Linked DNA regions of Saccharomyces cerevisiae S288C. The protein of the gene in region 3 interacts with the protein of the main gene of each other region in a biochemical or structural test. Each region holds a gene or a part of one and is shown on either strand. Other genes may lie near its edges.

The links.
Region 1: the proteins of HRD1 (region 3) and CDC48 form a complex in vitro, tested with the Saccharomyces cerevisiae proteins (one study listed by BioGRID).
Region 2: of the proteins of HRD1 (region 3) and PDR5, one has a biochemical effect on the other in vitro, tested with the Saccharomyces cerevisiae proteins (one study listed by BioGRID).
Region 4: the proteins of HRD1 (region 3) and UBC7 form a complex in vitro, tested with the Saccharomyces cerevisiae proteins (16 studies listed by BioGRID, with this or other methods).

What each region holds. Positions count from the first base shown.
Region 1 is NC_001136.10:235,655-240,605, reverse strand, and holds CDC48 (AAA family ATPase CDC48), read left to right. Parts: upstream 1-1,941; coding exon 1,942-4,449; downstream 4,450-4,951. Other genes in the region: YDL124W (aldo-keto reductase superfamily protein), read right to left, coding at 1-347; HNT1 (adenosine 5'-monophosphoramidase), read left to right, coding at 1,000-1,096, 1,208-1,587; cyclin PCL2, read right to left, coding at 4,753-4,951. UniProt on the Saccharomyces cerevisiae protein: ATP-dependent chaperone which probably uses the energy provided by ATP hydrolysis to generate mechanical force to unfold substrate proteins, disassemble protein complexes, and disaggregate protein aggregates.
Region 2 is NC_001147.6:617,947-624,928, forward strand, and holds PDR5 (ATP-binding cassette multidrug transporter PDR5), read left to right. Parts: upstream 1-1,893; coding exon 1,894-6,429; downstream 6,430-6,982. Other genes in the region: ATG40 (Atg40p), read right to left, coding at 1-342; SLP1 (Slp1p), read left to right, coding at 6,783-6,982. UniProt on the Saccharomyces cerevisiae protein: Active efflux of weakly charged organic compounds of 90 cubic Angstroms to 300 cubic Angstroms surface volume.
Region 3 is NC_001147.6:300,801-304,612, forward strand, and holds HRD1 (E3 ubiquitin-protein ligase HRD1), read right to left. Parts: upstream 2,236-3,812; coding exon 580-2,235; downstream 1-579. Other genes in the region: HTZ1 (histone H2AZ), read right to left, coding at 2,779-3,183.
Region 4 is NC_001145.3:316,732-319,677, forward strand, and holds UBC7 (E2 ubiquitin-conjugating protein UBC7), read left to right. Parts: upstream 1-1,948; coding exon 1,949-2,446; downstream 2,447-2,946. Other genes in the region: FMS1 (polyamine oxidase), read left to right, coding at 1-172; MAC1 (Mac1p), read right to left, coding at 434-1,687; MSS1 (Mss1p), read right to left, coding at 2,706-2,946.

The DNA.
Region 1 (4,951 bases), on a different chromosome or scaffold from region 3:
ACATAGTCAGTGCCCATCTTCTTCAAAGCTAAATCTAGTCCATCCGCTGGGGAATCTGACATCTTGATTTGAGGTGAGTACTTGTCTGTCAAGAATATTGCATTTCTTGGTTTTTCGGTGAGGCTAAGTGCCTTCCCAACTTCTGGATATGTTCTGTAGATCTCAGCAGCATCAATGTGAATAATGCCAGGTAACTTCAGAGCATAAACAATCTGTTCGACCAAACTGTTCGAAAAGGTAGCATCCGTTTCTTCGTTTTTATACCATCTAGTACCTGTCCCAATGATGGCGATTGCGGGGATTTTATTTCCATTATTCAAGGTAAAGAACTGTTGGTGAAATGACATCTGTAAAAGTGTTGTTAACTGACCTCCGTTTCTTTAGGGTAACACAACCGTTTACATGTGTATCCATATCCACGTAGTATCCGACTATCAATATATCCGTATATATATATATATATATATGGGATGAGCGTATGTGAGTGTTTTCGTAGATATTCAAAATACGAGTAAAGGAGATCCTAGGTGTGGATTAGTAAGGGGAGTGTGGCAACTTCCTTTTTCCGGTTAATTCTCCGCGCTTTCGTTAGACTATTTTGCAAGGACCCAAATAGGAGACGCATGGAGGCTTCTACAAAACAGCGTGCCGTTTTGATGGCATGAGCAGGGGGCGCAAAGGAAACACCGGTAAATCGCGCAAGACCTTGTTGGCCACGTAGCCTCAAAGGTTGAATTGACACTTGTCTACAGAACTTGAAAAGTACAAAAGGAGGTCACATAAAACAGTAAGCTTGAGAAGCTTTAAGATATGGTGCGAATCGTTACAGAATATTCCTTGCAGAAATAATGGCGGGTCCGTTCTCTTCTGAAGAAGTTACCGCCCTACTGAAGCATTGCTGTACGATCGTGTAATGTGATGTGTGTTCGACTGGAAAGCGGAGAACATTATGAAGTAAAAGGACAATCAGCACGCCTTCCAGACTTTTAAGAAACATTGATGGAGCCATTGATATCGGCACCGTACCTAACAACAACAAAAATGTCTGCTCCTGCTACGCTTGATGCTGCCTGTATTTTTTGCAAGATTATTAAAAGTATGTCACATTACTAATAAAGAGCTTACACTCACACCAATGATGGCGATAGTCTCTATGTAGTACATATACATAAAGCAGAATACTAACAATCGATCCGCTATGCAACAGGCGAAATTCCATCCTTCAAATTGATTGAAACAAAGTACTCGTATGCTTTCTTGGACATCCAACCTACTGCTGAAGGTCATGCTTTAATCATTCCTAAGTACCATGGTGCGAAGTTGCATGACATCCCGGACGAATTCCTTACCGATGCTATGCCGATTGCCAAGAGACTGGCCAAGGCAATGAAGTTGGACACTTATAATGTGTTGCAGAATAATGGTAAAATTGCGCATCAAGAAGTCGACCACGTCCACTTCCATTTGATTCCTAAGAGAGATGAGAAAAGTGGTTTGATTGTAGGGTGGCCAGCCCAAGAAACGGACTTCGATAAGTTGGGCAAGCTACACAAGGAATTGCTTGCCAAACTAGAAGGCTCCGATTAGAGTAATGCATGCTATGATTTCTTTTAGCGTTTTCTTTTCATATTTAAGTTTATACATATGGGTGTGTTTGCTTCCATTCATATCCACTCTATAATGCTAACAATCATGTTACTAGCCATCGTTGCTATCGATACCTTATGAACAGCTCTAACTCCTTCCTTTTTAACCTACCGCCTTTTGCGCACTACCCGGCAACCCCTCGAATGTGAATTCGGTGGCAAAAAAGGACATATATCAGGGCCGTGTATTTAAGAGATCCGCAGTTGATGTAGTCAATTAATCTAGTTCTATTAAGATTTGACTCAACGCCATTGACTCGATAACTGGCTCAACTACAAGACAGATATACAAATCATGGGTGAAGAACATAAACCACTTTTGGACGCCTCGGGTGTCGACCCTCGTGAGGAGGATAAAACCGCCACCGCCATTTTAAGAAGAAAGAAGAAGGACAACATGCTTTTGGTGGACGATGCTATCAATGATGACAATTCTGTCATTGCTATTAATTCTAACACCATGGACAAATTGGAATTGTTCCGTGGTGACACCGTTCTCGTTAAGGGCAAGAAGAGAAAAGATACTGTCTTAATTGTGTTGATCGATGACGAATTAGAAGACGGAGCATGCAGGATAAACCGTGTAGTTCGTAACAATTTACGTATTAGGCTGGGTGATTTAGTTACAATTCATCCTTGCCCCGATATCAAATACGCTACTAGAATTTCTGTGTTACCAATTGCTGATACGATCGAAGGTATAACTGGTAATCTTTTCGATGTTTTTTTGAAGCCTTATTTTGTGGAAGCCTACAGACCAGTGAGGAAAGGCGACCATTTTGTTGTCAGAGGCGGTATGAGACAAGTCGAATTCAAGGTTGTGGATGTCGAACCTGAAGAATATGCCGTCGTTGCTCAGGATACTATTATTCACTGGGAAGGTGAGCCAATCAACAGGGAAGATGAAGAAAATAATATGAATGAGGTGGGTTACGATGATATTGGTGGTTGTCGTAAGCAAATGGCTCAAATTAGGGAAATGGTTGAACTACCATTGAGACATCCTCAGTTGTTCAAGGCTATCGGTATCAAGCCACCAAGAGGTGTTTTGATGTATGGTCCCCCTGGTACTGGTAAAACCTTGATGGCAAGAGCTGTTGCTAATGAGACCGGTGCCTTTTTTTTCTTAATTAATGGTCCAGAAGTCATGTCAAAAATGGCTGGTGAATCAGAGTCTAACTTAAGAAAGGCCTTTGAAGAAGCCGAAAAGAACGCTCCAGCCATCATTTTTATCGATGAAATCGATTCTATAGCTCCAAAGAGAGACAAGACTAATGGTGAAGTTGAGAGAAGAGTTGTCTCTCAATTGTTAACTTTAATGGATGGTATGAAGGCAAGATCTAATGTTGTTGTCATTGCTGCTACCAATAGACCAAATTCGATTGATCCCGCTTTAAGAAGATTTGGTAGATTCGATCGTGAAGTCGACATTGGTATCCCAGATGCTACAGGTAGACTTGAAGTTCTACGTATTCACACCAAGAACATGAAGTTGGCTGATGATGTTGATTTGGAAGCATTGGCTGCTGAAACACACGGTTACGTGGGTGCTGATATTGCCTCTTTGTGTTCTGAAGCTGCCATGCAACAGATCCGTGAAAAAATGGACTTGATAGATTTAGATGAAGATGAAATTGATGCAGAGGTGCTCGATTCTTTAGGAGTCACCATGGACAACTTCAGATTCGCATTGGGCAATTCAAACCCATCTGCATTGCGTGAAACCGTTGTTGAAAGTGTCAATGTTACTTGGGATGACGTTGGTGGCCTAGATGAAATCAAGGAGGAATTGAAGGAAACTGTAGAATACCCAGTCTTACATCCAGACCAATACACAAAGTTTGGGTTATCACCATCAAAGGGTGTGTTGTTCTACGGTCCACCAGGTACAGGTAAAACTTTGTTAGCAAAAGCTGTAGCTACTGAGGTTTCTGCCAACTTTATCTCAGTCAAAGGTCCAGAATTATTGAGTATGTGGTATGGTGAATCGGAATCTAACATCCGTGATATTTTTGATAAGGCAAGAGCAGCTGCACCAACCGTCGTTTTTCTAGATGAATTAGACTCCATTGCCAAGGCAAGAGGTGGTTCCTTGGGTGATGCTGGTGGTGCTTCGGATAGAGTCGTCAACCAACTATTAACAGAAATGGATGGTATGAATGCTAAGAAAAATGTGTTCGTGATTGGTGCCACCAATAGGCCAGATCAAATTGATCCTGCTATTTTAAGACCTGGCAGATTGGATCAATTAATTTATGTTCCATTGCCAGATGAAAACGCTAGATTATCTATTCTAAATGCTCAATTAAGGAAAACACCACTAGAACCAGGGCTAGAGTTAACTGCGATTGCCAAGGCCACTCAAGGTTTCTCTGGTGCTGATTTACTCTATATTGTGCAGAGGGCTGCTAAATACGCTATCAAGGATTCTATCGAAGCTCACAGACAACACGAAGCTGAAAAGGAAGTGAAAGTAGAAGGTGAAGACGTGGAAATGACAGATGAGGGAGCAAAGGCTGAACAAGAACCAGAAGTAGATCCTGTTCCATATATTACAAAGGAGCATTTCGCAGAAGCTATGAAGACCGCTAAACGTTCTGTTTCAGATGCTGAATTGCGTCGTTATGAAGCATACTCACAGCAAATGAAAGCATCTAGAGGTCAATTCAGTAATTTCAACTTTAATGACGCTCCATTAGGTACTACGGCTACGGACAATGCTAACAGTAATAATAGTGCTCCAAGTGGAGCAGGTGCTGCATTTGGTTCTAATGCGGAGGAAGATGATGATTTGTATAGTTAGTTATATGCCAGGTATATTTTTATTTTAAATCGTAAATTCAAGTCATTTCTATAAAAAAAATCGTCAATTTTAACTCAATATTTTATGGCCCTTTTTATATTTATTTTCAAATTTGTCAAAAAAAGGAGAGCTAAATCATTAGAAAAAGAATGCATTATGGTATATTTATGTATATTAATATGTAAAATAAGAAAAAAGGGAGGCTGTAGGACCTCGGTCGTAAGAACATTTACCTGTGTTCTTCCGCCTTTTCCGAAAGTGCCATGAAGAAACGCAGGCCAGGCATAATTTCGACATTTAAAATCACGATTTGAAGTAATTTGACCAATTCGATTTCTTTACTTTTGTATCTTCTTTTATTATCTGTTTGTTTAACCCAGTTTTCAAGATCACAGGGCGCGCTTTACTAAAATTAAAAGGCTTAATTGTCGGTATTGGCCTATTTTCCTTGTTATCGTGTTTGGAGTCTATGTTGTATGTTCGCGGAGAAAACTTGTCGCTA
Region 2 (6,982 bases), 320 kb from region 3:
TTGAGATTCCATAAAGGCAATGAAGTCATATACCAGCTCTCTTGTCAAGCAAATACTTCCAAACGACATAAGTAAAGAGGTAAATGGTAAGAAATTCAGAAAGGCATCAATAGGAGTATAGAGGTAAATAAAATGTATGAACTCGTAAAGACTCCAATATTTTAACAGTGATTTATAAATGGTGATGACAACTGGGGACTGACCCAAAGAAGTAGCGGTTTTAGCAGCACTTGCCTTTGAGAAGTCAACGGAAGACGTCAGATAGACCACTTCTAATGTCAGCTGCAAAGGAATGGCAACTGAGGTAAGCAAAAATAAGGGCCATAAAATTAAATTAAACATTAGTTTTCTATGGTGGAGTGAAGCACAGCAGAAAGAACGTTAGGAACCTTAGCTAAAAGATAGAAAAAAAGAGCACTACAAAAATCTTATCCTCGATTTGAAATACTAATGTCGAGCCAGATCAAATTAAATGAAATCGAAATGATATAACGTTGCTCTTGCACGTGTATTTCGCTGCTTAGGAAAGTTGTTTCCACATATTATCTTTTGTACGATTTTAAACAGTAAAATCGATGCATATTAAGGGAGGCCCAATACCCGCGGGCAGTAACCGCATCTTTGGAAATACCGGGTAATAATAAATGCCCGGGAAAAAAGAGCATAAAACAGAGAGGCGATATAGGAATGAATATGTGCTATTTACGGAAGGGAAAAACACTTATTGTTTTTCTGAAATGTGACACAGTAAAGTCCGTCATATACGGTTCTCCGTTGGGCGCTACCACACACATATATATAAGCCTGAATGCAGTAGACAAATTTCAGATATCATACAAAGGAAGCGTTCTCTGGGACCCCTTTCTATGTTTAGATGGTTCACTGAACTTGTTCGTTAACGTAAATATGTCTTCCTCTTTGATTCCAACAATGATATTATAAGGAAATTATCGTCACAATCTAATCAACAAGGACAAAGAAAAGAAAAAGTTGAGAGAGAGAACAAAAGTTCAAATCAAAGAAAAAAAAGAACATCAAATTACCTATTACAATAAACAATTAAGCCATACTCGCAACAATTTGCCATAATAGAAAGCAGCACCTCGTTGGCGCAGTCCCTTACATAGTACACAACATTTATCACTTCACACAATCAGGAGTGGAACTCAATGGAAAACAACACCACACGTATGATCTTACTAATAAAAGAACATGAACGTTCCTCAGCGCGAACGTTCGCATTCTGCGCCTTCGAGCACAGGATAAGTTGCAGGAAGCCATCACATCTATGCAACGATTATCACGACACAACCTTGCCGCCGAGAAAACGTCCGTGGAGAACCATTCGGTCGATTGCTTCCCACGGAACGAGTGGACTGAAACTTAAGACTGCCCCTCTCTTTCCGCGGAATCGCTCATGCCGCGGTGCCACAACATTTTCAGATTTACTAAGACTCCGGTGAGTGTGGGCTCACCCGCGGGTCGTGATCACGATTCAGCACCCTTTGGACTCGTGATTCCGTGGAAAGGTCAGATCTGTATTCCTACTTATGGTAATGTGCTAAAAAAAGAGAAATGTCTCCGCGGAACTCTTCTACGCCGTGGTACGATATCTGTTGAACGTAATCTGAGCAATACAAACAAGGCCTCTCCTATACATATATAATTGTGATGTGCATAACCTTATGGCTGTTCGCTTTTATTATCATACCTTAGAATGAAATCCAAAAGAAAAAAGTCACGCAAAGTTGCAAACATATAACAACTGTGTTAGTTATCACTCGACTTTGTTATTCTAATTATAAATAAATTGGCAACTAGGAACTTTCGAAAAAGAAATTAAAGACCCTTTTAAGTTTTCGTATCCGCTCGTTCGAAAGACTTTAGACAAAAATGCCCGAGGCCAAGCTTAACAATAACGTCAACGACGTTACTAGCTACTCCTCCGCGTCTTCTTCTACTGAAAACGCTGCTGATCTACACAATTATAATGGGTTCGATGAGCATACAGAAGCTCGAATCCAAAAACTGGCAAGGACTCTGACCGCACAGAGTATGCAAAACTCCACTCAATCGGCACCCAACAAAAGTGATGCTCAGTCTATATTTTCTAGCGGTGTGGAAGGTGTAAACCCGATATTCTCTGATCCTGAAGCTCCAGGCTATGACCCAAAATTGGACCCCAACTCCGAAAATTTTTCTAGTGCCGCCTGGGTTAAGAATATGGCTCACCTAAGTGCGGCAGACCCTGACTTTTATAAGCCTTATTCCTTAGGTTGCGCTTGGAAGAACTTAAGTGCTTCTGGTGCTTCCGCAGATGTCGCCTATCAGTCAACTGTGGTTAATATTCCATACAAAATCCTAAAAAGTGGGCTGAGAAAGTTTCAACGTTCTAAAGAAACCAATACTTTCCAAATCTTGAAACCAATGGATGGTTGCCTAAACCCAGGTGAATTGCTAGTCGTTTTAGGTAGACCAGGCTCTGGCTGTACTACTTTATTAAAATCCATCTCTTCAAATACTCATGGTTTTGATCTTGGTGCAGATACTAAAATTTCTTACAGCGGCTACTCAGGTGATGATATTAAGAAACATTTTCGTGGTGAAGTTGTTTACAACGCAGAAGCTGATGTACATCTGCCTCATTTAACAGTCTTCGAAACTTTGGTTACAGTAGCGAGGTTGAAAACCCCACAGAACCGTATCAAGGGTGTCGATAGGGAAAGTTATGCGAATCATTTGGCGGAAGTAGCAATGGCAACGTACGGTTTATCGCATACAAGGAATACAAAAGTTGGTAACGACATCGTCAGAGGTGTTTCCGGTGGTGAAAGGAAGCGTGTCTCCATTGCTGAAGTCTCCATCTGTGGATCCAAATTTCAATGCTGGGATAATGCTACAAGGGGTTTGGATTCCGCTACCGCTTTGGAATTTATTCGTGCCTTAAAGACTCAAGCTGATATTTCCAATACATCTGCCACAGTGGCCATCTATCAATGTTCTCAAGATGCGTACGACTTGTTCAATAAAGTCTGTGTTTTGGATGATGGTTATCAGATCTACTATGGCCCCGCCGATAAGGCCAAGAAGTACTTTGAAGATATGGGGTATGTTTGTCCAAGCAGACAAACCACCGCAGATTTTTTGACCTCAGTTACAAGTCCCTCTGAGAGAACCCTGAACAAAGATATGCTAAAAAAAGGTATTCATATACCACAGACCCCGAAGGAAATGAACGATTACTGGGTAAAATCTCCAAATTACAAAGAGCTAATGAAAGAAGTCGACCAACGATTATTGAATGACGATGAAGCAAGCCGTGAAGCTATTAAGGAAGCCCACATTGCTAAGCAGTCCAAGAGAGCAAGACCTTCCTCTCCTTATACTGTCAGCTACATGATGCAAGTTAAATACCTATTAATCAGAAATATGTGGAGACTGCGAAATAATATCGGGTTTACATTATTTATGATTTTGGGTAACTGTAGTATGGCTTTAATCTTGGGTTCAATGTTTTTCAAGATCATGAAAAAGGGTGATACTTCTACATTCTATTTCCGTGGTTCTGCTATGTTTTTTGCAATTCTATTCAATGCATTTTCTTCTCTGTTAGAAATCTTTTCGTTATATGAGGCCAGACCAATCACTGAAAAACATAGAACATATTCGTTATACCATCCAAGTGCTGACGCTTTTGCATCAGTTCTATCAGAAATACCCTCAAAGTTAATCATCGCTGTTTGCTTCAATATAATCTTCTATTTCTTAGTAGACTTTAGAAGAAATGGTGGTGTATTCTTTTTCTACTTATTAATAAACATTGTCGCGGTTTTCTCCATGTCTCACTTGTTTAGATGTGTTGGTTCCTTAACAAAGACATTGTCAGAAGCTATGGTTCCCGCTTCTATGTTATTGTTGGCTCTATCCATGTATACCGGTTTTGCTATTCCTAAGAAGAAGATCCTACGTTGGTCTAAATGGATTTGGTATATCAATCCGTTGGCTTACTTATTCGAATCTTTGTTAATTAACGAGTTTCATGGTATAAAATTCCCCTGCGCTGAATATGTTCCTCGTGGTCCTGCGTATGCAAACATTTCTAGTACAGAATCTGTTTGTACCGTGGTTGGAGCTGTTCCAGGCCAAGACTATGTTCTGGGTGATGATTTCATTAGAGGAACTTATCAATACTACCACAAAGACAAATGGCGTGGTTTCGGTATTGGTATGGCTTATGTCGTCTTCTTTTTCTTTGTCTATCTATTCTTATGTGAATACAACGAGGGTGCTAAACAAAAAGGTGAAATATTAGTTTTCCCACGCAGTATAGTTAAAAGAATGAAGAAAAGAGGTGTACTAACTGAAAAGAATGCAAATGACCCCGAAAACGTTGGGGAACGTAGTGACTTATCCAGCGATAGGAAAATGCTACAAGAAAGCTCTGAAGAGGAATCCGATACTTACGGAGAAATTGGTTTATCCAAGTCAGAGGCTATATTTCACTGGAGAAACCTTTGTTACGAAGTTCAGATTAAGGCCGAAACAAGACGTATTTTGAACAATGTTGATGGTTGGGTTAAACCAGGTACTTTAACAGCTTTAATGGGTGCTTCAGGTGCTGGTAAAACCACACTTCTGGATTGTTTGGCCGAAAGGGTTACCATGGGTGTTATAACTGGTGATATCTTGGTCAATGGTATTCCCCGTGATAAATCTTTCCCAAGATCCATTGGTTATTGTCAGCAACAAGATTTGCATTTGAAAACTGCCACTGTGAGGGAGTCATTGAGATTTTCTGCTTACCTACGTCAACCAGCTGAAGTTTCCATTGAAGAAAAGAACAGATATGTTGAAGAAGTTATTAAAATTCTTGAAATGGAAAAATATGCTGATGCTGTTGTTGGTGTTGCTGGTGAAGGTTTAAACGTTGAACAAAGAAAAAGATTAACCATTGGTGTTGAATTAACTGCCAAACCAAAACTGTTGGTCTTTTTAGATGAACCTACTTCTGGTTTGGATTCTCAAACTGCTTGGTCTATTTGTCAGCTAATGAAAAAGTTGGCAAATCATGGTCAAGCAATTCTATGTACTATTCACCAACCCTCTGCTATTTTGATGCAAGAATTCGATCGTTTACTATTTATGCAACGTGGTGGTAAGACTGTCTACTTTGGCGACTTGGGCGAAGGTTGTAAAACTATGATCGATTATTTTGAAAGCCATGGTGCTCATAAATGCCCTGCTGACGCCAACCCAGCTGAATGGATGCTAGAAGTTGTTGGTGCAGCTCCAGGCTCTCATGCAAATCAAGATTATTACGAAGTTTGGAGGAATTCTGAAGAGTACAGGGCCGTTCAATCTGAATTAGATTGGATGGAAAGAGAATTACCAAAGAAAGGTTCGATAACTGCAGCTGAGGACAAACACGAATTTTCACAATCAATTATTTATCAAACAAAATTGGTCAGTATTCGTCTATTCCAGCAATATTGGAGATCTCCAGATTATTTATGGTCGAAGTTTATTTTAACTATTTTCAATCAATTGTTCATCGGTTTCACTTTCTTCAAAGCAGGAACCTCGCTACAGGGTTTACAAAATCAAATGTTGGCTGTGTTCATGTTTACGGTTATTTTCAATCCTATTCTACAACAATACCTACCATCTTTTGTCCAGCAAAGAGATTTGTATGAGGCCAGGGAACGCCCCTCAAGGACTTTTTCTTGGATTTCATTTATCTTCGCTCAAATATTCGTGGAAGTTCCATGGAATATATTGGCAGGTACTATTGCTTATTTTATCTACTATTATCCAATTGGATTTTACTCCAACGCGTCTGCAGCTGGCCAGTTGCATGAAAGGGGTGCTTTATTTTGGTTGTTCTCTTGTGCTTTCTACGTTTATGTTGGTTCTATGGGTCTGCTTGTCATTTCATTCAACCAAGTTGCAGAAAGTGCAGCTAACTTAGCCTCTTTGTTGTTTACAATGTCTTTGTCTTTTTGTGGTGTTATGACTACCCCAAGTGCCATGCCTAGATTTTGGATATTCATGTACAGGGTTTCACCTTTGACTTATTTCATTCAGGCTCTGTTGGCTGTTGGTGTTGCTAACGTAGACGTCAAATGCGCTGATTACGAATTGCTAGAATTCACACCACCATCCGGTATGACATGTGGGCAGTACATGGAACCATATTTACAACTAGCAAAGACTGGTTACTTAACTGATGAAAATGCCACTGACACCTGTAGTTTCTGTCAAATATCTACAACCAATGATTACTTAGCTAATGTCAATTCTTTCTACAGTGAGAGATGGAGAAATTATGGTATCTTCATCTGTTATATTGCATTCAATTATATCGCTGGTGTCTTTTTCTACTGGTTAGCAAGAGTGCCTAAAAAGAACGGTAAACTCTCCAAGAAATAATAGAATTTTGAATTTGGTTAAGAAAAGAAACTTACCAAGATGGACTTTTTTAATAAACATACATAATCACTACATATAGGTGCGTAATAATAAGTTTTTATTTTTTTTTTCTTAATTCAGCGAGCTTTCTACATTTCAATTTTCTTGAATTTACCAGCTCTGATAAATCAAAGTTCAATGTCCGAAAGAATTCCGAGAATTTTATTCCTAGGTTATCTCATCGGTACTTTTTTTTTATAGGCATCAGCATTTAGTGTGAAAACATTATTTCTTAACTGTGCCTTACGGTTAAAAAGAAAGGACGCAATGGATATAGTTAAAATATAAGATATATTATATCATTATCTGTCCGAATGGCGAACCGTCTTCTCATATACGGCCTTATTTTGTGGGTAAGTATAATCGGATCTTTTGCATTAGATAGGAACAAAACTGCTCAAAATGCGAAGATTGGTCTACATGATACCACTGTGATCACGACTGGAAGTACAACGAACGTGCAGAAAGAACATTCCTCACCACTATCCACCGGTTCTTTAAGAACCCATGATTT
Region 3 (3,812 bases):
AGAGTCGATATATCTACATATTATGATAATGTTTACTTCTTCTTCCATTTTATATGTTATCATTTATTATCCTATTGCATTATCAACCTTAGGATTTCTGCTTCCTTTATATGTGATAGCTGTTCCTTAATCATTATGTCACCTTCCTATGCCGTATGTGATAATATACTAGTAACATGAATACCAATAATAAGTGGATGGTACTAGAATTACATTTCAACATAGGCTGAGTTGCTTTGGAAGGCCATGATGTGTATTATAAATTCTGAGTCTTTTCATGGTTCTCAGAAAAGATCGGGCGTGTGGTCTAGTGGTATGATTCTCGCTTTGGGCGACTTCCTGATTAACAGGGGGACAAAGCATGCGAGAGGCCCTGGGTTCAATTCCCAGCTCGCCCCCTTTTTTACTATTGAAAAGTATTCGGTCAGACGTAGCTGATCGATGTAGCATGTGTACGCATTTCTAGATATCGAGTAATTTCCGCTGATGTATAATATATATATATGTGTGTGTGTGTGTGTTTTTCATCCAGTAGTTTTTTTCTTTAAAAAAAACTATGTATAATATAAAACATGCAATCTAGATATGCTGGATAAATTTATCTGGTATGACAATTTTCTTGGCAATTTGCTCGCCCCCGTCTCCATGCAGAGAATTTACTTCGTGATTTTCTATTGTTAATTTGACAGGAATACCATTTTCTTTCTCATCTGAATTTGTGATCAAAAATTCGTAGGCTGATCGGCTTGACCCAACAGAATTATCACCAGTTTTATGTAATGGGAACGTATACCACGTAGGAGATGGTGTAGAGGTTGACCTTGTTCTCATTGCTAATGTGTCTATATTTTGAGTAGGCACTATCCTTATATCAGGGGAAGTTGTTCTTGTGGGAAGTAGATCTACTTCGTTTGCGAAACCTTGTTGATCTGTCGCTATCCCAGTGCTATCTGTTACGGTGGTCTGTGTCGTGATATCACTATTGGAAGTGAAAGTCGTTTGCACAACATTACCTTTTTCATCAAAGACAGGCAATCTACAAATAGGACAAGTCTGAGAACGTTCCATCCAATTCTTTAAACACGACAAATGAAGTATGTGGCCACAAGGTAACCTTTTGGGTTTCTTGTTTTTATTCTTCCACGTCTGCTGGTTTGGAGAATGTATTAACTCATCCATACAAATGATACAAATATTGTCATCATTTGCAGAATTTTGTAGCTGTTCTACGGTGACAGTGACAAGAGTGTCGTCGAGCTGTTTGTTATTTCTCCAGATTTTCCACAAACTTGTGCCACTTTGATATAGTGCCAAGATATCCCACACCACATCTTTCAAAAGCATCATAGGCATCCTAAATGGTATTAGCATAGACAAATGAAGTGCCGTTTTTAAGAATCTTGTGAATACGTCAATTGCTTTTTCATACATGAATTTACCCTCCAGGCCGGTAAATTGTCTATCATCATCGTCGTCATCGTCGTCGTCATTCAGCACTGGCTGAGATTGATCAGACTCAACCGTGTTTTCATCTGTAGGATCGCCATGGACAATATGGTTGTTCTCATTAGACAGACTTTGTTGTGAGCGATAAAATTCCCAGAAATTCAAACAAGTCTGTAGGAATAAATTTAGCAAATCAATCAAAAGCATGGTAAACTCCATTACTTGTATCAGGTAAAGGGATGTGGATTCAATATCACTCTTTTGGTTTGTATATATGGAGGAGATGCATCGTGTTATTATCTGGTAGTCTACAACCGCCAATAGTACGAGGTTAAATGAGAATCTACTAAAGATAAGGGTTTTCATTGTGGTGGAATCATTTATTGACTGTAATAAGGCCTCCAGCCTATCCTTTAAAATCCAATGGAAAACTTTCAGATAGAGTAGTAATAGTCCAAAAAATGCCACTGTGAAAAAATACCGTTCGTGGAACAGTGAGGACATAAACAAGGTGTTTATAATGGTAAATGGTAACCTTTCAAAAATGTGCTCATGCTCAATAAGCCTCAGTTCACCAAATAATAGTTTCGTTAGGAGTTGCCATAGTAAGGTAGAATTTAATAAGATGAATATCGACAAAACCATTAGATTGAAGCCTTCATTTAGCTTCAGTGTTACTTGCAAAAAGGAAACGCTTGTCTTGGTGGCTGAATACACGCAATAAAATGTGAGCAAATATGTGACAACTACAAAAATTGCCAACTGTTTCCTTCTATTTTCTGGCACCATATTATTATTTTGTCTTTCTCCCCTTCTCTTACAAATTGCAATTGATAGATGATTTTCTGGTTATAAAAAGGAACCAACAAATCGGTAGAAAGTCGACAGTATAACTAGTGGTGAAGCTGTTATTAGAAATGGTAGGGGGGTTTTTTTTTTGTCCTGTCGGCACGTATGGAAATTTATCGTCTATTAAACCTTTTCTTTGATTTGATTTCTACAGTGTACTTTTGTAGGTGTCCTTAATTTCCATTTTTCCGGGTATGCAAAGTTCAACAAAAAGAAAGCCCTGACCAAATTTCTGCGTACATAACGGCTACTGCGCTATCGTTGGGAATATTGTGTGAGAGTATATTTTCATGCTATATATTATAGTAAAAACATAAGAGATTAGACGTGAAAGGAGAGATAGATTACATATATGTATGTATATAACTCGGGTACGGAGAGACAAATTTCAACTTATAATAATGATACAGACGTTAATATGGATAGAATGAGGATACAGGAGCAGGGAGAATTACGGGAAATGGGAAAGAAAAACTATTCTTCTTATTTCTTACTTCCCTTTTTTTCCACTTTCAATAATAATGCTTTATTTATATGAGGCAAAACACCACCTGAAGCAATTGTAGCCCTGATCAAAGAATCTAACTCATCGTCACCTCTAATGGCCAATTGCAGATGTCTTGGGGTAATCCTCTTGACTTTAAGATCCTTGGCTGCATTACCAGCCAACTCCAGCACTTCAGCAGTCAAATATTCCAACACAGCAGTCAAATAAATGGCAGCTTTGGATCCTACTCTTGTTCGGCCGGTAGCGTGCCTTTTCAGGTAACGCTTAATCCTACCGACAGGAAACTGCAAGCCAGCCCTTGCTGAAGAAGATTGAGATCTCAATGAACCACTGTCTTTAGCGCCGGATTTACCTTTACCTCCATGAGCTTTTCCTGACATTATGTTAAGTTATTTTTACGTGCGGCTATAGTGCGAAATTGAATTTAACGATATTTTTTCCGACTGAAGTATAATAGAGTCCGCAGTGTTTTTTAGTTGGGGGTTGTGACTCTATTACACTGGATAATAGTTCAGCTGTTAAATAGAGCTGTATGCTTTATTTGTTGTTTTTTTTGTTTTGTTGTTTTCGTGCACGGAGCGAGCGCGGCGGGTTACGGAACACCAGCGGCCAGTTCTACGAGTAGTAAGTTACGGGCGTAAAGTTACTGTGTGCTAATCTAGCATGGATGCATTCAGTAAACCTTTTCAATTGAGTCTAACGTTCTCTAAAGAAAGAAGAATACTGCTATTTTAGGTATGTGCTTACTACCGCTTGTGCGGACCTGCCCTGATTCCAAGGTAAGAGACAGTGATTCTTGTCCTAAGCTCTTTTCTCCGGGGCGGGCGGGCGGCTGGCAGACATATTGATTGCGGGTAACACCTCCGAGGTTAATTAATCAAGCAACGTGCGGAGTTTTATCACATGGATGTTTCTTATCACCGGGTGCGCGCCACGCAATATATAAAACGGTAAACATACGCTGTTGCAAGGCAAGACACAACAGCGGCAAACACTTCAGAGAATACAG
Region 4 (2,946 bases), on a different chromosome or scaffold from region 3:
CTGTTTTCCAGGAGATGATCCAGTTGATATGGTTGTTGCAATGTCTAATGGTCAAGACTCCCGCATAAGATTTGCAGGCGAACATACTATCATGGACGGCGCCGGCTGTGCCTATGGTGCTTGGGAAAGCGGAAGACGGGAGGCGACTCGAATCTCTGACTTACTGAAATAGAATCTATTTTTTCGAAATTACTTACACTTTTGACGGCTAGAAAAGGATATACATACATATTAAAATTTTTAGTAACACTCTGTGCTTTTTCAAAAATTTGAGGTACACCTAATTCTCCCACTTGTTGCTTATACCAAGTTTGAACAATTTTAATGTTAAGCACAATAGATTGGAATATTATCATATGGTGGTTCAGAGAGTAGTAGGGTGCATTTTCATTCCTGTTGCCTCAATGTGTTTTCTATCTGTATTTACGTGATTTTATGAAGTGGTGGCATCGCTTAGATGTGGTGCATAATTAGAGACTAATTTTTGAAACCACGCATGAATGTCAAGTAATTCTAACTGAGCATCTGTCATCAATGGCACTTGCAACTTCAAAAAATCCCACCAATATTTTGACGGCACCAATTTACCTTTGAATTTTATTTGAGTTTTCCTTGTTAATCTTGCATTCAGAATTCCATAGAAAAAGAATTTTTCAAATGGAATTATATTTGTAGAGTGAGAAAAACATCCATCACAAGTGCAGTTATCCGGAGGACATATGCATTCCTTGTCAGTGCATTTACAATCATCCAAATAATCCATCATCTTATCAGTAATTTGAGCTTCACCAATATTGGTTAAAGGAACACCACTTTGTTGAATATAAGAATTCAGTTCCTCTTCGCTTCTATGGATTAGACAATTAACACATGGGCAGCTTTCATCTTCACAAGAGCACTGCGTGCTTAAAAAAATGCCCTTATGAGTCAGGACTTCAACTTTCGAAGCAACGTCGCTTGAATGAGGAGCAGCAATCGTTGTTGTACTTTGTGGGGTGAGTGTTTCTGAACTGTCATGCGCACCAGGAACAGAACTATTGTAGTTTTCTTGTAAAATATCGTTAAAAGCGGACGTAGATTCCAAGGAGCCGTATGGCGTAAATATGTCATCAGACGGTGCCTTGTTCGTCTTGCCATTAGAAGCTGGGTTCTGTGATTTATCTTTCTTACAGCAGTTTGAAAAATGTCGTATAGGCTCCTGTTGAAGCCGGCTTCGCTCTTTCTTCTCACTTGAAGAAGATGACTTGGTAGAGTCCGGAGATATTGTTCCTGTTGCCGGAGCTTTGGGAGAGTGTTTCCTAAGAAACTCCGTTTCGGTGATATATTTGTTACCATCATCGGTAAATGTGCTAATATCTTTAGGCTCATGAGCAGTGAAACCTTCCTCCATTAATATATGCAATTTTCCGTTTATCATTCTTGCCTTTCTAACAGCAGAGGCACGTACAAACAGTATTGGCTGTTGATTCATTGCGCTGCAGCAGTCACCTTCAATTTGTGCACCATTTTCGTATTCTGTACTTTGCGATGTAGAGTCTACTAAAATAGCGTCTCTGATAGCCATGGGTGAAGGTCTTCCTCTAGTTCTCACCTTAATTAGCATTCGGTGAGAATGCCTGCATGTTGAAGAGCGATGCCCTCTGATGCACGATGCACACGCATATTTGTTCCCATTAAATATTATCATCTCTGATAGAGCTTGAAGAACTTACCAGACTGTTTCAAGTTTAAAACAAGGCGCCTCATCGCATCTACCTCACGAAGATGCAGCAGCTTATTGTCTCGAGATCCTTCTTATAACTCCTTTTCGCCATTACCCGAAAACGAGATTACAGCCTCTAAACCAAGAGCTCGAAAAGCGCCAAAGTAAACTCTGGCGTTTAGCGTACGAAGGAGATTATCCTAAAAGGAACTTCCCTAGTAATAGTGTAATTTGGAAGGGCATAGCATGTCGAAAACCGCTCAGAAACGTCTCCTCAAGGAGCTTCAACAGTTAATTAAAGATTCTCCACCTGGTATAGTGGCTGGTCCCAAATCGGAGAATAACATATTCATTTGGGACTGCCTAATTCAAGGGCCTCCAGATACGCCATACGCTGATGGTGTTTTTAATGCTAAGCTAGAGTTTCCTAAAGACTATCCGTTATCTCCACCTAAACTTACTTTCACACCCAGCATACTACATCCAAATATTTATCCAAATGGGGAAGTGTGCATATCCATTCTACACTCCCCTGGTGATGATCCTAACATGTACGAATTAGCGGAAGAAAGATGGTCGCCAGTGCAAAGTGTAGAAAAAATTCTATTAAGTGTTATGAGCATGTTGAGTGAGCCCAATATCGAAAGTGGTGCCAACATTGATGCTTGCATCTTGTGGAGAGATAATAGACCTGAATTTGAGAGACAGGTAAAGTTATCCATTTTGAAATCATTAGGATTCTGAAAGCAGGTAGCAGGTTAATGATCATTTGGTCTTCCTTTTAACTGTTCTCTATATACATAAATAAGCATATCTACCATCTAAAAGAAAGCAAATGTCACATAATAAATATGTTAAAATCTCAATGTCTTCCTGGCTTTTCAGGAATTCAAACCATTTCCATTTCGTTGGTGTATAATCAGGGGCCCCTCTACTCTCACCTCTCTGTACCGAAGCGTTAATCAATTTTCTTTTATTTATATACACGATGATTGTAACTAGGTTATTTTCCTATACAAAATTTGCTGAACACTGAATCTAAGATTTCCTCAATACCAATAGCTTGTCCTGTTATCTTAGCTATTCCATCGGATGCATACCTCAAATTTTCTGTGGCCAATACTATATCATTATGGAAATCTTTGGATTTGAAAAACTCTTCCAAGCCGTACAGTACGTCGTTTTTGAGAATCTCTGACACTCTTTTGGAAACAATGACAGGACTTGCATCGGCACTTGATTGA